Lonchura striata: one gene and its partner. The protein of the gene in region 1 interacts with the protein of each later gene in a biochemical or structural test. Links are inferred from orthologs where the notes say so. Each region holds a gene or a part of one and is shown on either strand. Other genes may lie near its edges. The genes, in order: AP1G1 and SYNRG.

Region 1 (7,763 bases):
AGTGGGACAATCTCTTGTCAGGAAAAAGCTATTGAATGCAATAGAGAACTAGAAAGCAACATCAGAAAATCACAAAGCAATTAAGTCAGCAGGGGGCTTAAAAAATGCAGTCACATAAGAAAAGGCATTAGAGTTACACTTTGCTTTATGCAGAGACAGCTGGAGAAGAGCAGGGGAGGTCAAATAAGAAAAAAAGTATCCCAAAACAAGAGCTAAAAACAGTCCTGAAGAGATGGTCCCACTTCCAGTTACATTGAAAAAAAAAAAAACAAACCACCAACAAGGAATGCAGCACAACATTATTTAAAAAGCAAGGCTCAGTGCTACTCAAGAGTTGAGAGGAAGAGGAGAGGCAGGACAGAGGCTGAGGACATTGCACAGATCCCACCCAATCCCACTGCCAAACAACTACAGACCCCTTCCCACTCCCTGCTGACTGAGGCATGGCCCCAGAGCACAAGTCAGCACTTTAGATAAGGTATCCCATTCCTGCACAACTGTGCACATACACCAAACGCAGCAACTCCTGAGCTGCCTTCACACTGAGCTCCCAGTCAGTACAAACATTAACCTCAACAACTGCCAAAAAAGAAGAGAAATATCACCCTATTTTTTTAAGAAGGTAAAAAATGTAGGAAGAAGAATTAGCACAGCTATACAGCTGATCACCATGACAGATTCAAGAAGAATTCAAGATTTTCTGGCTTCTTCAATCACCACTGACCTACATTATCTTATCAACTGCTTCTAATTTCCCCTTAATTTAATCTGTGAACTACTCTGGCTATTTTACTTCCTGTTCACTTTCCTGCAGAGTTAAACTTTAAATAATAATAATTTTAAAAAGCCACTAGTTTGTCACAAAAACCCCTACACCCTTCTAGGTCCTTGCTAATGCCAGAGGAAAGACAAGATTTTTACATTAATTAATATGAACTTTACAACAGGCCACATAACTTCAGCTGTTCTCTAAAAAGTTCTAATCTTTTATTTCACTTGTAGCATTTCTGCCAAATAGCAGATACAGGCTGCACTAATACCTGTGATATCAGCAGATTCACTTGTACTCACATTACTGTAGCTCTGTTTTTTAAGTTACAGCCTGATCATACATTTACTTATTAACTCCAAAATGCTCCTCCAGTAAACTAATGCTCTTACCATAGCAGAACAGACCCTCTCCCCAAAGAACAGCTGAGTATCATCTAGGACAAATTAGCATCACCTGCATTCAGAAGAAATTGTTCTATCATTAAAAAATGTGATGAGATCACACAACCCATGGCCTGCAGTTCTACAGGGCCAGCTCACAAATACAAATATTCACTCTGGAGAGGCACAAGCAGCTTTACTGACTGCCATCACTTTTAGCAGCAGTAAAGATTTACACGAGCCCACACACTTGGAAAGCTGATGCTCCAAACCTGAACTGCGCTAACTAGGGTGGGCTCTGTGTGCCTGAGAACAGCCAGTTTGGACTCCTGTGCACTGTCCACAACCTTCTCACACCATGGCCTGACAGACTCACTAATCTCATGCACAGCGAGGCCACTGCAAAACGCACTACACCAACAATCAGAGCATTTCTGTTATCCCCTAATCTCTCACGGGACACTTCAAAGGTACTACACGATCTTTCCATCTCTACCGTGCCACTCTCAGAAAAACACATCAGCAGTCACAGGAACAGAAAAGAAAAACAACAAAAAAGGAAGAAAATGTTTTTTTTTTAATCATAAAGGGAGAAAATATGAAAGCTATCCTACACACTGGAAACACAAAAGCTGGATCCCCTCACAAAACAATAACCCAAGACTTACTTTTCCCTTCTCAAGAAACAGGAATTTTAATACCTTTCCTCTCCTTCTCCCAGCACAGTAGAATGGAAGGGTTCACACCAACCTCCTCAGAAAAAAACCCACAAAATCTCCTGCCTTCATTCAGCTCTTGAATACCCAACAAGTACTCAAGTTTTCAAATCCTGTGCCAAACACCAGAGAGCACACAAGTAAACAGATGAAAGAATCTGGCAACAAATGACAAGAATTTGATATACAAACAAACAAAGGAAAAAAATCCCAAGTGTAGTTTAGAGGAGAGGTAGCAGGGAAATGGGTACAAAAAGCTATTGTGCTCTACTACACAAAAAAACAACAGGGAAACAAAACAGCACAAATTTCTCTGCCATTTTAAATGTAGGATGCTAGGAGCATCCCTAAAAGATTCCCCTGCATTTACAGGGGAAAACACACTATATTTTACTGTTTAAGCCACTATGGACCAAACACCTTTTGGCCACACATGTGACACTGTTAACCTTTCAAAGATCTTCCACTGGGATTCTGCACTGTCCCATTAATATTTCAAGCATCAGAAACTGAAATTTGTCGCTCAACATTTTTACACATCACTTTCAACACAATAAAACACACACCTGTTCCATCTGTTAACTTTAAAAACAGTGTCTACTATAAAATAAACTACAATTTATCTTATAGCTCGTGCGAGAGCTCAGCCAGCCTTGAAGAAGGGACTTGAAGGCGCCCTTAGAGACCGGCCATAGCAGCTCACTGCAAATACCTTGAGCCAGACCGAAAATCTCCTGCTTCCATTAAAACCCATAACCGGGAAGTAATGCAGACGCTGCAATATTCGGAGCGCTTGTGCAGCCTAGGCAATCATATAGCGAGGGGAAGGCCGAGCACAAGTCCCGACTTCTGCCAGGACGGCAGCGGGCCACAGCACGAACCGCTCTTGAGGTACGCGCTACTGCTGCCGCTGCCCGACCTCCGGGCACGGGGGCCGAGGCAGGGCTGCACCGCCGTCTCTCCGGCAAAGAATGGCTAGGGCACGCACGGACCGCTCCCACACCCGAGCAGGAGGCCCCGGGGCGCAGGGGAGAGTTGGAAGCGGGCCGGAGCGCCAGGCAGAGACAGCGGCGCCGACAGAGGCGGCGGGAGGGCAGGGGGCGGCCTCGCGGACAGAGCAGCCGAGGCCCAGCGGCGGAGCTCGGGGCGGAGAGAGGCCCCAGGACTCGCAGGCCCCAGGCGGCGAGACCCGGAGGTCAGGGGAAGCCCGGCGGGGCAGCAAAGACCCGAGCCGGTCCCACTCACCAGGCCGGTCCCTGCAGCGGTGGCGGCGGATAGAGCCGGGCATTCAAAATGGCGGCGGCGCGGCCGCAGCACCGATACCGCAGGCGGAGGGATCCAGGCCGACTCGCTCCCCGCGACTCCGCAGGCTCTGCCGACCGCGGGTGCGAGCGCGGCCGCGCCGAGTTCGGCGGGAACGGGGCGGGGATGGCGAGAGTGTGGTACAGTAGAGGCGGTGGCGGGACCGAAAATACCGCTTGCACTACTTTTCTTGGCGGAAGCACCCGTGAGGTCTTATACGAAAACTTGCGTCTGCACCGTGGCATTCCCTGATGACGTCATGCGCGGGGCGGTCCCGGCACGCGCGCTCCCCATGCCGGGGCCGGGCGGGACCCGCCGCCCGTGTCCGCGGTTCCGGGATCGAGGGGTTCCGAGGGGCCAAGCCGCTCCCAGTTCGCCGAACCTTGCACTGTTGAAACGTCCAGCGGCGGCGGGGTGAACGCAGGGCGCCGCAGGAAACGAGGCAGCTCTGGAAGGGGATACAGAGCCACCCCCGCCCCAGGCAGCTATTCTGTTCCCGCTTCCAGGACCTTATGCCACATTAACGATTATCGAATGACGAGTAGCTGCCCCCGCGGAGCCCGGTCGGCAGCACGGGGCCAGCTGGACACTGCGGGGGTGCGAGACAGGGCACGGGCACGTTCAGACCGAAGGCTCCTGCAGGGGAGCCGGGCCACGCTGCCGCTGGGCCCTCGCTGCCAGCCAACCGCGGAGCGATCCGGTCCGGGGCGCGGGGCCAACAACAGCCGCGCGGCGCTGCCGCCAGGCGCCTGCGCTGGGGCCGGGCGGGCGCGGCTCGCGGGTCGAGCTCAGCTCCGGGCGGACGCGGCTGGTTGCCACGGCAACGGCGCTGCGCGTGCCCCGGGACGCCATCCGGCGCGGCGGAGCCACGCCTACCGAGCAGTTCCGGCGTTCGGCGTGCGCGTCATTGCCATGAGACGCGTCATCGCCGTGCGCCACGGGCGGGGAGGAGCCGGTCCGGGCGCCGGGCGGGCCCGCGGGGCCGGTCCAGGCCATGGCGGGTGAGCCACGGGCACCGGGCGGGCACCGGGCGGGAACCGGGCGAGCCCGCGGGGCCGGTCCAGGCCATGGCGGGTGAGCCGCGGGTACCGGGCGGGCACCGGGCGAGCCCGCGGGGCCGGTCCGGGCCATGGCGGGTGAGCCGCGGGCACCGGGCGAGCACCAGGCGGGCCCGCAGGACGCTACGGGGCGGGGTGCGCGGTAGCGCGGCCGCGGTTTTGGGGCCGGGGTTGGGGGCGGCGACCGGGCTCGGGCGTCTTCCGTCCTCGCGTCCCGCACCGGGGCCAGCGGCCGTCGCCGTGGCCGTTCCCGGGGCCGGGGTTCGGGCCACCTCCCCTTCCCGAGGCCTGGACTCACGGCTCCCTCTGTTCCCGGCACAGGTGAGGCGGCGGCCGGCGGCGCGGATCCCGGAGCCCGCGCGTGGCAACCCCAGTGGGTGCCCCCATGAACGAGCGGCGCGGCCGGGGCTGCCGGGACACCGCAGGGCGCCATGAGAGCGGGCCAGGAGCGCAGCCAGGAGTGTCTCCCGCCCAAGAAGCGAGAACTTGCCGCCGCCAACACTGGCACCGAGGCGGGACGGGCCGGGGGAGCCCAGGGCTCGGGCTCGGGCCCCGAGTGGGCTCGCACGGCTCGCCCGGCTCCCGCCACACCGCGCTACGGTCCCGGCGAGGCCCCCGAGGCAGCAGCGGGGCTGACGGTGGACCAATACGGGATGCTCTACAAAGTGGCAGCACCGCCTGCCACCTTCTCCCCCACGGGCCTGCACCCCGTGGTGAACGTGAGCCCCCTGCCCCCAGCCTTCAGCGTGACCTCGCCCATCATCCAGCACCCGGCGGTGCCCTTCCCCTCCATCCACTATGCACAGATCCCTTCGGCTTCCCTGCAGCTCATTGGTTCCCCCTACACAGTGCCCTATGCCGTCCCTCCTGCCTTCATGCCTAGTCCTCTCCTGTCTCCTTCCACAAACCTCAGTGCCCCCCATGTCCCCCACTTTGTTCCATATGCCTCCCTGTTCACAGAAGAAGCTGCTCCTTCCTCCCAGACTACCTCTCCTACCCACAGCTTCAACAAATCCACCTCTGCAGCCTCTCCTGGGCAGATGCAGCACCACACTGCGTCCCAACCAGTGGACATGCCACCGGGGAGGATTCCTGTTTATTATCAGATGTCCCGCCTCCCACCAGGCTATTCAGCCTATGAGGCACCTGTAGCAGGTGGGAACCCAGACTCTCCTCAGCAAGACAGTCAGCTGAGCTCAGAGGTGGCTGCGGCCAATGGTGGGCAGAGGCCCCTGGAGCAAAGTGTGGCCAGGAGGCCCAACGAGGCTGTGGACTCTGCCAGCAGTGCAGCTGAGGACTGTCTGCCCCCAGGGGCTGCAGCAGGATCTATGGGTGATGGACAGTTCCTTCCAGGTCACCAGATGCTGGGAAGAGAGATCTCTGTGCCTACTCACAGGAGCACCCCAGACGCTGATCTGGAGGTTCAGAGAGTGGTGGGGGTGTTGGCATCTCAGGATTATCATGTTCTGGCAGCCCAGAGGAAAGATGACCCAAGCCCTTTAAATCTTTGCCATAATACCACTGATGGGCAGGGAGACATGCTGAGGAACACCACAGATAGGGCTGCAGCTGGGAACAGCCAGTCCCAGAGCCCATGTGGAATGTCCCCCGAAGAGACTGCTAGACAGAGACAGTTAGCCAAAGGAATGGTGATAGCCAATGGCAAGCCAGTACTTGTTCCCGTTGGATCTGAGCCCGTCAGGTCTTCCACTTCAGAAGTCCTGCTGAGGGAAAGCCCAGATGCACAGGCTCGAGGATATGTGCTTGAAAAGGAGCTGGCCCAGTTGCAGCCACCCAGTTCCTCACAACTGCCCTCTCACTTCATGAAAGGAGCCATCATCCAGCTGGCGACGGGAGAGCTGAAGCGGGTGGAGGACCTGCAGACTCAAGACTTTGTTCGCAGTGCGGAGGTGAGTGGAGGCCTGAAGATCGACTCCAGCACTGTGGTGGATATTCAGGAAAGCCAGTGGCCTGGGCTTGTCACACTGCATTTTGTGGTTGGGGAGCAACAAAGTAAAGTGAGCATTGATGTGCCCCCGGAGCATCCCTTCTTTGTGTATGGCCAGGGCTGGTCCTCCTGCAGCCCCGGGAGGACTGCTCAGCTCTTTGCTTTACCCTGTCACAGGCTGCAAGTGGGGGATGTATGCATATCAATCAGTTTACAGAGCATGAATGGCAACTCTGCTTCTCAGGCCAACTCCCCTCTCATGGATCAGCTGGTATCTGCTAGGGAGAGATTGGAACGAACAGCCCAGGGGCCCAGAGAGCCATGTGACAGAGCTGGTGAAAGGAAGAGCCACACAGATAGAACCAGCACGGCTCAGAGCTCCCATGCAGAATCTTCTCAGTCTGAGGCTGGCAATCTGTACAGTTTGGCCCCAGGCTTCCAAAGATACAGCGTGCAGGCAGAGGAGCCTCGGCCCTCTCTGCTCCGTCCCTCTTTCATTCCCCAGGAGGTCAAGCTGTCTATTGAAGGGCGTTCGAATGCAGGGAAATGATCCCTTAGAGGTGTGAGCTAGGGCAGCCACAGCAAGCGAGCCTCACCATCAGGTAGAGGAATTGCACAGACTGTCAGAGGCTCACCAACAAAGGCTGCTTTCTGCCTTGCAGGAATAGCTCCATTCCAGTTCCATGGCTGACCAGTTGCTCCTGGGGAGTCAGGAGGCCTTCAGTGCCTCAGGGAGCAGCGACAGGCTAGCTGGGGTGGGGAGCAGGGATGTGGTCATGAGTGTGTGATGAGAGCATTCCACAGGCTGCTGGAGGCTGGGGCTTTCTCCCACTTCCTGGGATAACTGACTCCCTGCGGGGCAGGGGCTGAGCATTTGGGGCAGGTAGGGAGATGAGGAGGGCAGACTTGTCTTAAGGTAGCAGATAAAATTGCTGAAGATTTTATTTCTCCTTTCTCATGATGGGGAGATATGGGTCCCCCCTGGAGTTTGGGGGCTCTACTCCCAGCATCCCCTTTCTTCACACATGCACTTTAAAAGGACCGTTCACCGATGGAGCTCTCAAGGGCAGGATGGAGGTGCTTCTCTGGTGGTTCTGATTAATGTCTCTTCCACTGAATCCAACTACTCTTTCTTCTTGCAAAGAATGTACAGATTTGAATGAATCACATAAATTCAAGAGGAAGGACCAAAAGGATGGGCTTGGGTGCAGGTGAATAGGGAACTTGAGCACTTGAGATGGGACACAAGTTGGGATGGGAGACATTGTTTCCTGCTGTAAACTCTACTTAGTTGTTTTGCCACCAAATCAAATCTTTCTTCCTATGTTAATAACTTCCAAAAAACCCTCCTGGGCTTATAGCTTTTGCAGAGGTTAACCGAGGGATGAATGGGGTTGGATTTTTTTGTTTGGTCAAATTTTGATTTTGGATATTTTATTGGTTTGGTTTGTTTTTTTTTTTTTTTTTTTTTTTTTAATCTGGAGCAAAATACATTCAACATTCTCTAGAGAAGGTTGAAAACATCCTTCTTCTGTGAGAAGACCAATGCTATTTTGTTATTAAGTCAGAAAAATGTTCCAGATGGCT
Region 2 (7,660 bases), on another chromosome or scaffold:
CAGAGAAAGCACATCTCCCCCTCCCAGCAGGGCTCCCCAGGAGTCAGTGAGGGCCACTTACTGCTGCTCCTCTGCAAACTGCTTCTGCATGTCGGGGCCGTACTGCGGGGCGGCCGGGCGCATTCCCAGGAAGGAGGCCTGGCCCATGTAGGGCATTCCAGCTGCTGGCATCGGCCCGAGGGCCATGCCACCCTGCAAGCAAACACAGCACACAGCTCCGGGGGGGGTTTTCAGCTCCAGTGTATTTTTTTTCCCTGTAGAAAAAGCCAAAGCACTGGCAGTGCCAATAAACGGAGCCTGGTGTTAGGGAGTGCTGGAGGAGCAGTGCCCTCAGTAGATGGCACTCTTCCTCTCCACAAGCGCTCAGCCTCACAGAATTCGGGAAAACTGTCAAAAACCAACTCTTCAAACCCAGCCTGCCCCAAGAGCAGCAAGGCTACAGCCGTCCCACACCACTCAGTACAGGATTTTTTGGGATTTTTGGTTCCTATTCTAAGGAATTTCATATTTTTATACCCCCTCCTACCAACCACAGATGCTGGAAAATGTGGTCTAGGCATTTCCCAGACATATCCAGGGAACCAACAATATATGACAACAGCCAAGAGGAGCTTGTCTGAATAAACCATATCAGAAGCATTTGCTGAGGAATATATTCTGGGACATCTAGAGCAGCAAAGCTGCCTAATATAGAAGGAGCCAGAAAATAATTATTTTTCTTGCCATTCATTTTGCATTTGGTCTCAGAACACGTAGGAAGAGAACAAAAGTTGTTTATTATTTTTAGACCAGCTCTCATAAAAACATCTTCCTACTATAAATTTTGCCAAAATAACATAATAAATTGCAGCTGGGGGAGGGAAGGGAGTGTAAGGAGATGGCAAAACAATAAATTCCATTTGTGACACGGCAATTTGGTTAGAAAGTCATGCAAAACATTGAATTTCAACAAAGTGCAAAACTGTACATAAGCATATATGGCGCTAAATAGAAAACAACAGATTAAAAGAGAGAAAATATAATATGATCTGCTCATATTTCATTCTTATTCCTCAATTAGCAACAGCAGCACTAAAGACAAAGTTACCTTGAGGAAAAAGAAAAATGATAGGACAGAGGGAAAGGCTGTAACCTGAAGGAGGGCAGGCTTAGATTGGATATTAGAGAGAAATTCGTCCCTGTGAGGGTGGTGAGGCCCTAGCACAGGGTGCCCACAGAGGTTGTGGACTCCCCATCCCTGGAAGCGGCCAAGGCCAGGCTGGATGGAGCTTGGAGCAGCCTGGGAGGGTGAAAGGTGTCCCTGCCCATGGCAGGGGGTGGAACTGGATGAGCTTTAATGGCCCTTTCAACCCAAACCAGCCTGGGGCTCTGCAGTTTCAGCCCACATTTCATTGCCACACACCTGCATGGCCATGGGTCCAGGAGGCATCTGAGAGCCATAATTCATTCCCATCATCCCTGGCATGTTGGTCTGCATGACAGGAACCATTGGAAACCCTTGCTGTTGCATAGGAATCATCCCTGCAATGAAACATTAAACAAGCTAAGAGCCCAGTTAATGTTAAAAGCTTTTTTTTTTTCCCTTCCCTAACCCTGCCTCTCCCATTTAATTGTTTTGGTTTTGGGGGTTTTTTTTTGTTTGTTTGTTTGGTTGGTTTTTTTTTGTTTTGTTTGGTTTTTTTGGTTTTTTTTTTTTGTTTACTAAACCAGCAAAGGAAAGTAAAAAAAATCTTGAGTTGAGCTGGACTGTTTAAAAATAAAAATAATAACATTTGCTACACTGCAGGCAGCCACAGAAATCTCCTTAGTTTAGACACTGGTCATTCTACAGGGAAAAATATTACAGGGCTTTTCAGTAACTAACCTGATGAATTATCCCACCATCCTAAAGATTCTCTGTGGGTTTTTTCCCATAAGATTTTTGGAAGGGTCATTTCCAATTAAAACTATTTAATTAACCAGAGTGACTGGTGCTGGTAATTCCTATTTCTCTTGAAACCAGCAGCTTCTGAAAATAAATCTTGGGAAATAAAGTCAACCTTTCACAAAGCAACTTCACACTCTGACCTGGCTGGGTAACTTGTCTGTAGGTTAATTAGCACACTTTAGGTTAATTAGCCCACTACATGTGTTAGAATGGTAACAATACTTGTCAGTAAAAGCTAAACATGCACAAAATTGGACAAATCAAGCTGGAATGTATTAATTCACTGAATAAAGCAAGTGTTATGTTTCAGCATCTTCCTCCCTCACATTTTGCTGTCTTGGGAGACAAACGCTAACATGCACTTGTTACCAGCACACCATGGAGATAATTATGCAAAAACACTCCAGGAGGGCATGACACAGGCAGGAATAATCCATGAATCAGTCCCTGCGATTTTAATAAAAAACTCTATTTTCCCCGTAAATTCTCTGCATATTTTCCCCTAATTAAACAAACAGCACTGCATCAGGAATGAGAACAAAGGCAATTTAAGGCTGAGGCTCTGCCATTGTATTAATACTTTCCACACAGGTTGTGACTCTTGTCCTGGGGTCTTGATGTGCTTTGTAAATATTTACCAGGTCTTGCAACACCCACACAGTATGGGTATACACAGCTGGGAGATGAAGCAAAGAGAGGTGAAATACCACACTCAAAATAACACCAGAGTCTAAAAGGCCAATTCAGGTTAAAAAGGGAGATGTAGTTTTCCTGGACCTTTAATCCAGATTCTGGTGGCGCTGCTTCAACAGCACACTGGAGGTTTTCCCAGCAGAGGAGTGAGAGTCATTTGAACAGAGCTGAATTCAAAAGGACAAAAACCAGCCATGGAGTTCAATTAATAATCACACCTCTGAACATCACTGCAGACCTGGTTTAGGTCTAATTTGTCTGAACAAAGTCAAGAACTTTGTGCTCAAAATGCGCAGCCGATACGTACCTTGAGGGGGGCCCAAACCACCTGCCACAGGAAACATGAAGCTGCAGGAGGAAAACGAGAGTATGTGAAATTCTGTCACTTTAGGGCAAATGGAAAATCCACCTCGACTTCCACGGCAGCACCACCACCAGGAGCCTCCCACCTTCTGGTCAGCACTTGCAGCTGCTCCTGCAGGTCCCCCAGAACCCAAGCCCATCCAAGGCAATGTTATCCCTCAGTGGGATCCCCCGAAGCACCCCACAGCGCCAGCACAGGCTGCAGAGCCAGGAAACGCAGATCTGATCCTCCCAGCAGCCCTGACACGGCTTTGACTCATCCACATCACCCACAAGAGACTCTCAGCACCCACACAGCTTGGGAACAGGTCAGTTTGTTGTGTGGGCTAAGCAGGGAATGAATAACCATCTCCTCTTGGAAGTATCTGACTCAGCAGGACCACCAGAGAACACTTCTCAGCTGCTTAGGAACAGCTTTTCTGAAGAAAAATAAACTATCCACAAAACTCCATTACTTTTCCCCTTCCCCTTTTAGAAACACTAAGTATCACAAAATAATAGAGTTTCTATTTTCTCAGTTGTCTAATTACAACAAAAATAGCATCTTGGAGAAAACATTCATTCACATATCAAGGGTCAAGTGCACCTAGAGGAAGAACCATTAAAATTTCAACTAAAATCCTAATGGAAATTGCTAGCCCTCACTCTGAAACAGCTGCCAAACAGTAAAAAAGGGCCTAGTTTAAAATTCTCATCTGCAAGCAACTTGCAGAAACCCACGTCAGCAGCAATTTCCCAAACAAGAACCTCACTCAGTGTCCCAGGCAGTTATTACATCAAAGTGCTGTGGAAGAGAAACACACTTATAGATATTCAATGTTCAATTCCAAGGGTGGATGTAAAAGAAACTGTCGAAGAGTACAAGAGAAAATGCCATCAGAAATGGCTGCAGGAAGTCCTGAAAGCCAACCTGGTTTATAAATATAAAAGAGCTGTGTAATATGAGCACTAAGATAAAATAAGGAATTTAAATTATGCATTTATCCAGGAGCAAATTGCACCTCCTCACTGTACAGGCAGCGGGTCACACGGTCACCAAGACCCATTTGCTCTTCACTTTATTCATGATCTTCATCATCTTGAAGCTTCTTCTTCAGCCCTGAGCATTGTGTGCTGATTTTGCCTTCCATAACTATCACACACCTGTGCTTCCCAATGGTCTAGTCTTGCCATCCTCCACCCCCACCATCTGGGGATCTCCCTCTGAAGAACTCTGCAGACTCAAACAGCTCAGCCCCAAACATGTGCAGGGCTTGATTCTCACCACAGCCAAGGTCTGTTTAACTCTATTCAGTCATTTAAATCCATTCCTTGGCATACAGTATCAACATGAAAACAAATAGACTTACTTTAGTCAGAATGATGAAATACTAAATGTAATTTCTGAAGATCTCCTAAGCATGTAGAAGTGTTCTAAGCTTCCTGCTTCCCTTCTGGTTGGGGAACCTGAACAACAAGAATTCTGAACCTGAACAACAAGAATTCTCCAAACCAGCAAATGCAATGTAAACTGAACAAGCGTCAGGAGGTACCACTGCTTGTTGGGAGCAAGTAGAGGCCAAACTATTAAATATTTATCCCTTTCTACACAGCTCCTGGTTTATTTATAAGTCTCTGCTGAAAAAAATAAAAAGAAACAATCAACCAAAAAACTCCCAGCTGATTAGAGGGCACTGCAAGATGAGCTAGTCCAAAGTAGAAAAGCAAGCTCTGGCAGCACAGCCCCGTCCGTATTCACTCCAGGATTCAGTGTGCAACTGCCAGCACCAGCCACACTGGCACAGCCACAAACCATTCCACCAATGGGAATTTATTACTGAACTGCTTTTTTGGAGATGCAGAATTGCCCAGAGCAATCAGTGAAAGCAGCTGGTTCTGTGGCTGAGGGAGCCAGCGAGGGGACCTGTGTGAGACCGCCTTGGGTACGCTGCACAAACACAGTAAAGAGAAGGGAACAAAGTGATCACCCTACAACAGACCTCCTAAAGCAGTACTAGAAATCTGTAGATTCCTACTACATGAGTATTTTAAATATGGAGCTTAAAAAAAACCACCAAGAAGCCCCAGACCAACCAAGCAAGAGCTTCAGCCAAAATGCAGGAGTGTGGGGAGAAGCAACACCTTTTCTGAACTGAAACTTTGCTGTAACAGCTCCAAACCACACAGAACGTTTTCCCATCTACAAGTGGATTTTTAAACCCCTTAATTCTCAAGCAGTACAACTCCATTGATGCAACAGACCGTCAGAGTATTTTTAAGTGGCAGAAATGTGCAAAAATTGAAGTGAAATCAGGCAAAGAACCCACACAGACACAGAACAGAACTTTCCCTCTACCTCCAGATTTTGTCCTCAGAGAAACCAAAATATTATCAATGGGCAATGGTGATTTGTAAATAATTTTATTTTTCAGAACCTTTATTTCTGAAACTGACAACAGTGACAACACTCCCAGTAACACTGACAAAACTGTGGGCTTTGGATATCCAAGACAACTCAATGAGGCTTAATTGTCAAATGCAAAATTTCCTCAGCCTCCCTGGAAGTAGGACAAGAGATAAACAGCAGATGAGAGCGTACATTGAAAAAAAACATTACTAGAGTCTTCAAAGGTAGTGAAATCCAGTTTTCCAAGCTTTACAGAAACACAACATCTCTTTTAACACTTTTTTTTTTTTTTCCTCCCAACAGGATTCCTCGGTCCTCCCTGTGGCCAAGGTGCCCTTTGTGAGAAGGAGGGGAAAAGGGAAGTCCCCAGGGAAGCTGGGTCCCAGGGAGGCCACAGCCAGACCTGACAGGGACATTTAATGCTGCCGACAGCGGCGGCACTGGCAGAATCCCCAAATCCTTCCCACCCCAATATCTGAGATTGCACCTGCAGAGCCTGACGGCAAGTGGGACACAACTGCCCAAGCCTGGACACACGGGGGGAAAAGAGCTGGGGATTCACCCCAAAAACGTGAATAAATCTTGGCAAAGCGCAGAGCTACCGTGGCTGCATTCCCAACAACACACCTGGGACCCCATGTACTCCACCCAGGACCCCACGTACTCCACCCAGGACCCCACTACATCCTGCCTGGAACACTGATGTTCCATCCACGATCACCGGTACTACACCTGAGCCCCATCCATCCTACCCCAAACCCCACAAAGCTCGCCTGACAACCCACGAACCCCACCTGGGACCCCACCCAAGACCCCACGAACCTCACCTGAGGCCCCACGTACCACACCTGCGACCCCCACACCCCACCCAGGATGCAGCACACCTGAGAGCCCACGCACCCAACCTGGGACCCCCAGGCCCCAGCCAGAAACCTCGCGCAGCGCACCTGGGCCCTGACTGACCCCAATCGCACCTGGACTCCGAGCCCCCAGCGCTCTCATCGCCCCCCATGCCGCCCCTCCCCGCGTGCCTCAATTCCCCATCACCGCCCCCGCTCTTTGTCCGCTGTGCCTCCACGCCCGCCGCTCGCGGTCGGCACCGACCTGGCGGCCCCGGCCGCTCCGCCGCCCGCCCCGCCGGCGCCCCCCGCGCCGGGCCCGGGCCGCAGCGCCATCTTCGCGCTCGGCCCCGCCGTCCGTCAGCGGAGCGGCGGCGGCGGCTTCCGGGGCCGGCCTGGGCAGGCGCCGCCCCCGGCCCCGCCGCTCCCCGTTACACGGTCCTGCGGGTGCGCGGCCCCACAGAGGCACGGCCCCTCGGGTGGACAGCCCCACAGAGACACGGCCCCACAGAGCCACGGCCCCTCAGATGGACAGCCCCACAGAGCCACGGCCCACAGAGCCACGGCCCACAGAGGCACGGCCCCTCGGGTGGACAGCCCCACAGAGACACGGCCCCACAGAGCCACGGCCCCACAGAGGCACGGCCCCACAGAGCCACGGCCCCTCAGATGGACAGCCCCACAGAGGCACGGCCCCACAGAGCCACGGCCCCACAGAGACACGGCCCCTCAGATGGACAGCCCCACAGAGGCACGGCCCCACAGAGCCACGGCCCCACAGAGCCACGGCCCACAGAGACACGGCCCCACAGAGACACGGCCCCACAGAGACACGGCCCCACAGGGCCATGGCCCCACAGAGACACGGCCCCACAGAGCCACGGCCCACAGAGACACGGCCCCACAGAGACACGGCCCCACAGAGACACGGCCCCACAGGGCCATGGCCCCACAGAGACACGGCCCCACAGAGCCACGGCCCCACAGAGCCACGGCCCCACAGAGACACGGCCCCTCGGTGTCTCCGTTCCACGGCCCCACAAAGCCACAGCCCTTCAGTTCCTCCGTTCCACAGCCCCACATCCTCTCAGTTCCTCAGCCCCACATCCCCTCAGCCCCACACCCCCTCGATTCCTCAGGCCCACATCCCTTCAGCCCCACATCCCCTCAATTCCTCAGCTCCACATCCCATTAGTTCCCCAGCTCCACATCCCCTCAGTTTCTCGATTCCTCAGCCCCATAGCCCCTCGGTTCTTCAGCCCCTCAGCCCCATATCCCCACATCCCCTTGGTTCCTCAGCCCCACATCCCTTCAGCCTCTCAGCCCCATAGCCGCAGTTCTTCAGCCCCACACCCCCTCGATTCCTCTGCTCCACATCCCTTCAGCCCCACATCCCCTCGGTTCCTCAGCTCCACAACCCCATGGCCACCCGAGAACAGCCTGGATGGGGAT

The links.
Region 2: the proteins of AP1G1 (region 1) and SYNRG form a complex in vitro, tested with the Homo sapiens proteins (2 studies listed by BioGRID). The link is inferred for Lonchura striata from reciprocal best matches to the Homo sapiens genes AP1G1 and SYNRG.

What each region holds. Positions count from the first base shown.
Region 1 is NC_134615.1:23,780,843-23,788,605, reverse strand, and holds the start of AP1G1 (AP-1 complex subunit gamma-1), read right to left. Parts: upstream 3,227-7,763; 5' UTR 3,114-3,226; intron 1-3,113. Other genes in the region: ATXN1L (ataxin-1-like), read left to right, coding at 4,660-6,726. UniProt on the Homo sapiens protein: Subunit of clathrin-associated adaptor protein complex 1 that plays a role in protein sorting in the late-Golgi/trans-Golgi network (TGN) and/or endosomes.
Region 2 is NC_134622.1:10,561,086-10,568,745, forward strand, and holds the start of SYNRG (synergin gamma), read right to left. Parts: upstream 3,236-7,660; 5' UTR 3,070-3,235; intron 2,969-3,069; 5' UTR 2,965-2,968; coding exon 2,928-2,964; intron 1,522-2,927; coding exon 1,403-1,521; intron 193-1,402; coding exon 62-192; intron 1-61. UniProt on the Homo sapiens protein: Plays a role in endocytosis and/or membrane trafficking at the trans-Golgi network (TGN). May act by linking the adapter protein complex AP-1 to other proteins. Component of clathrin-coated vesicles.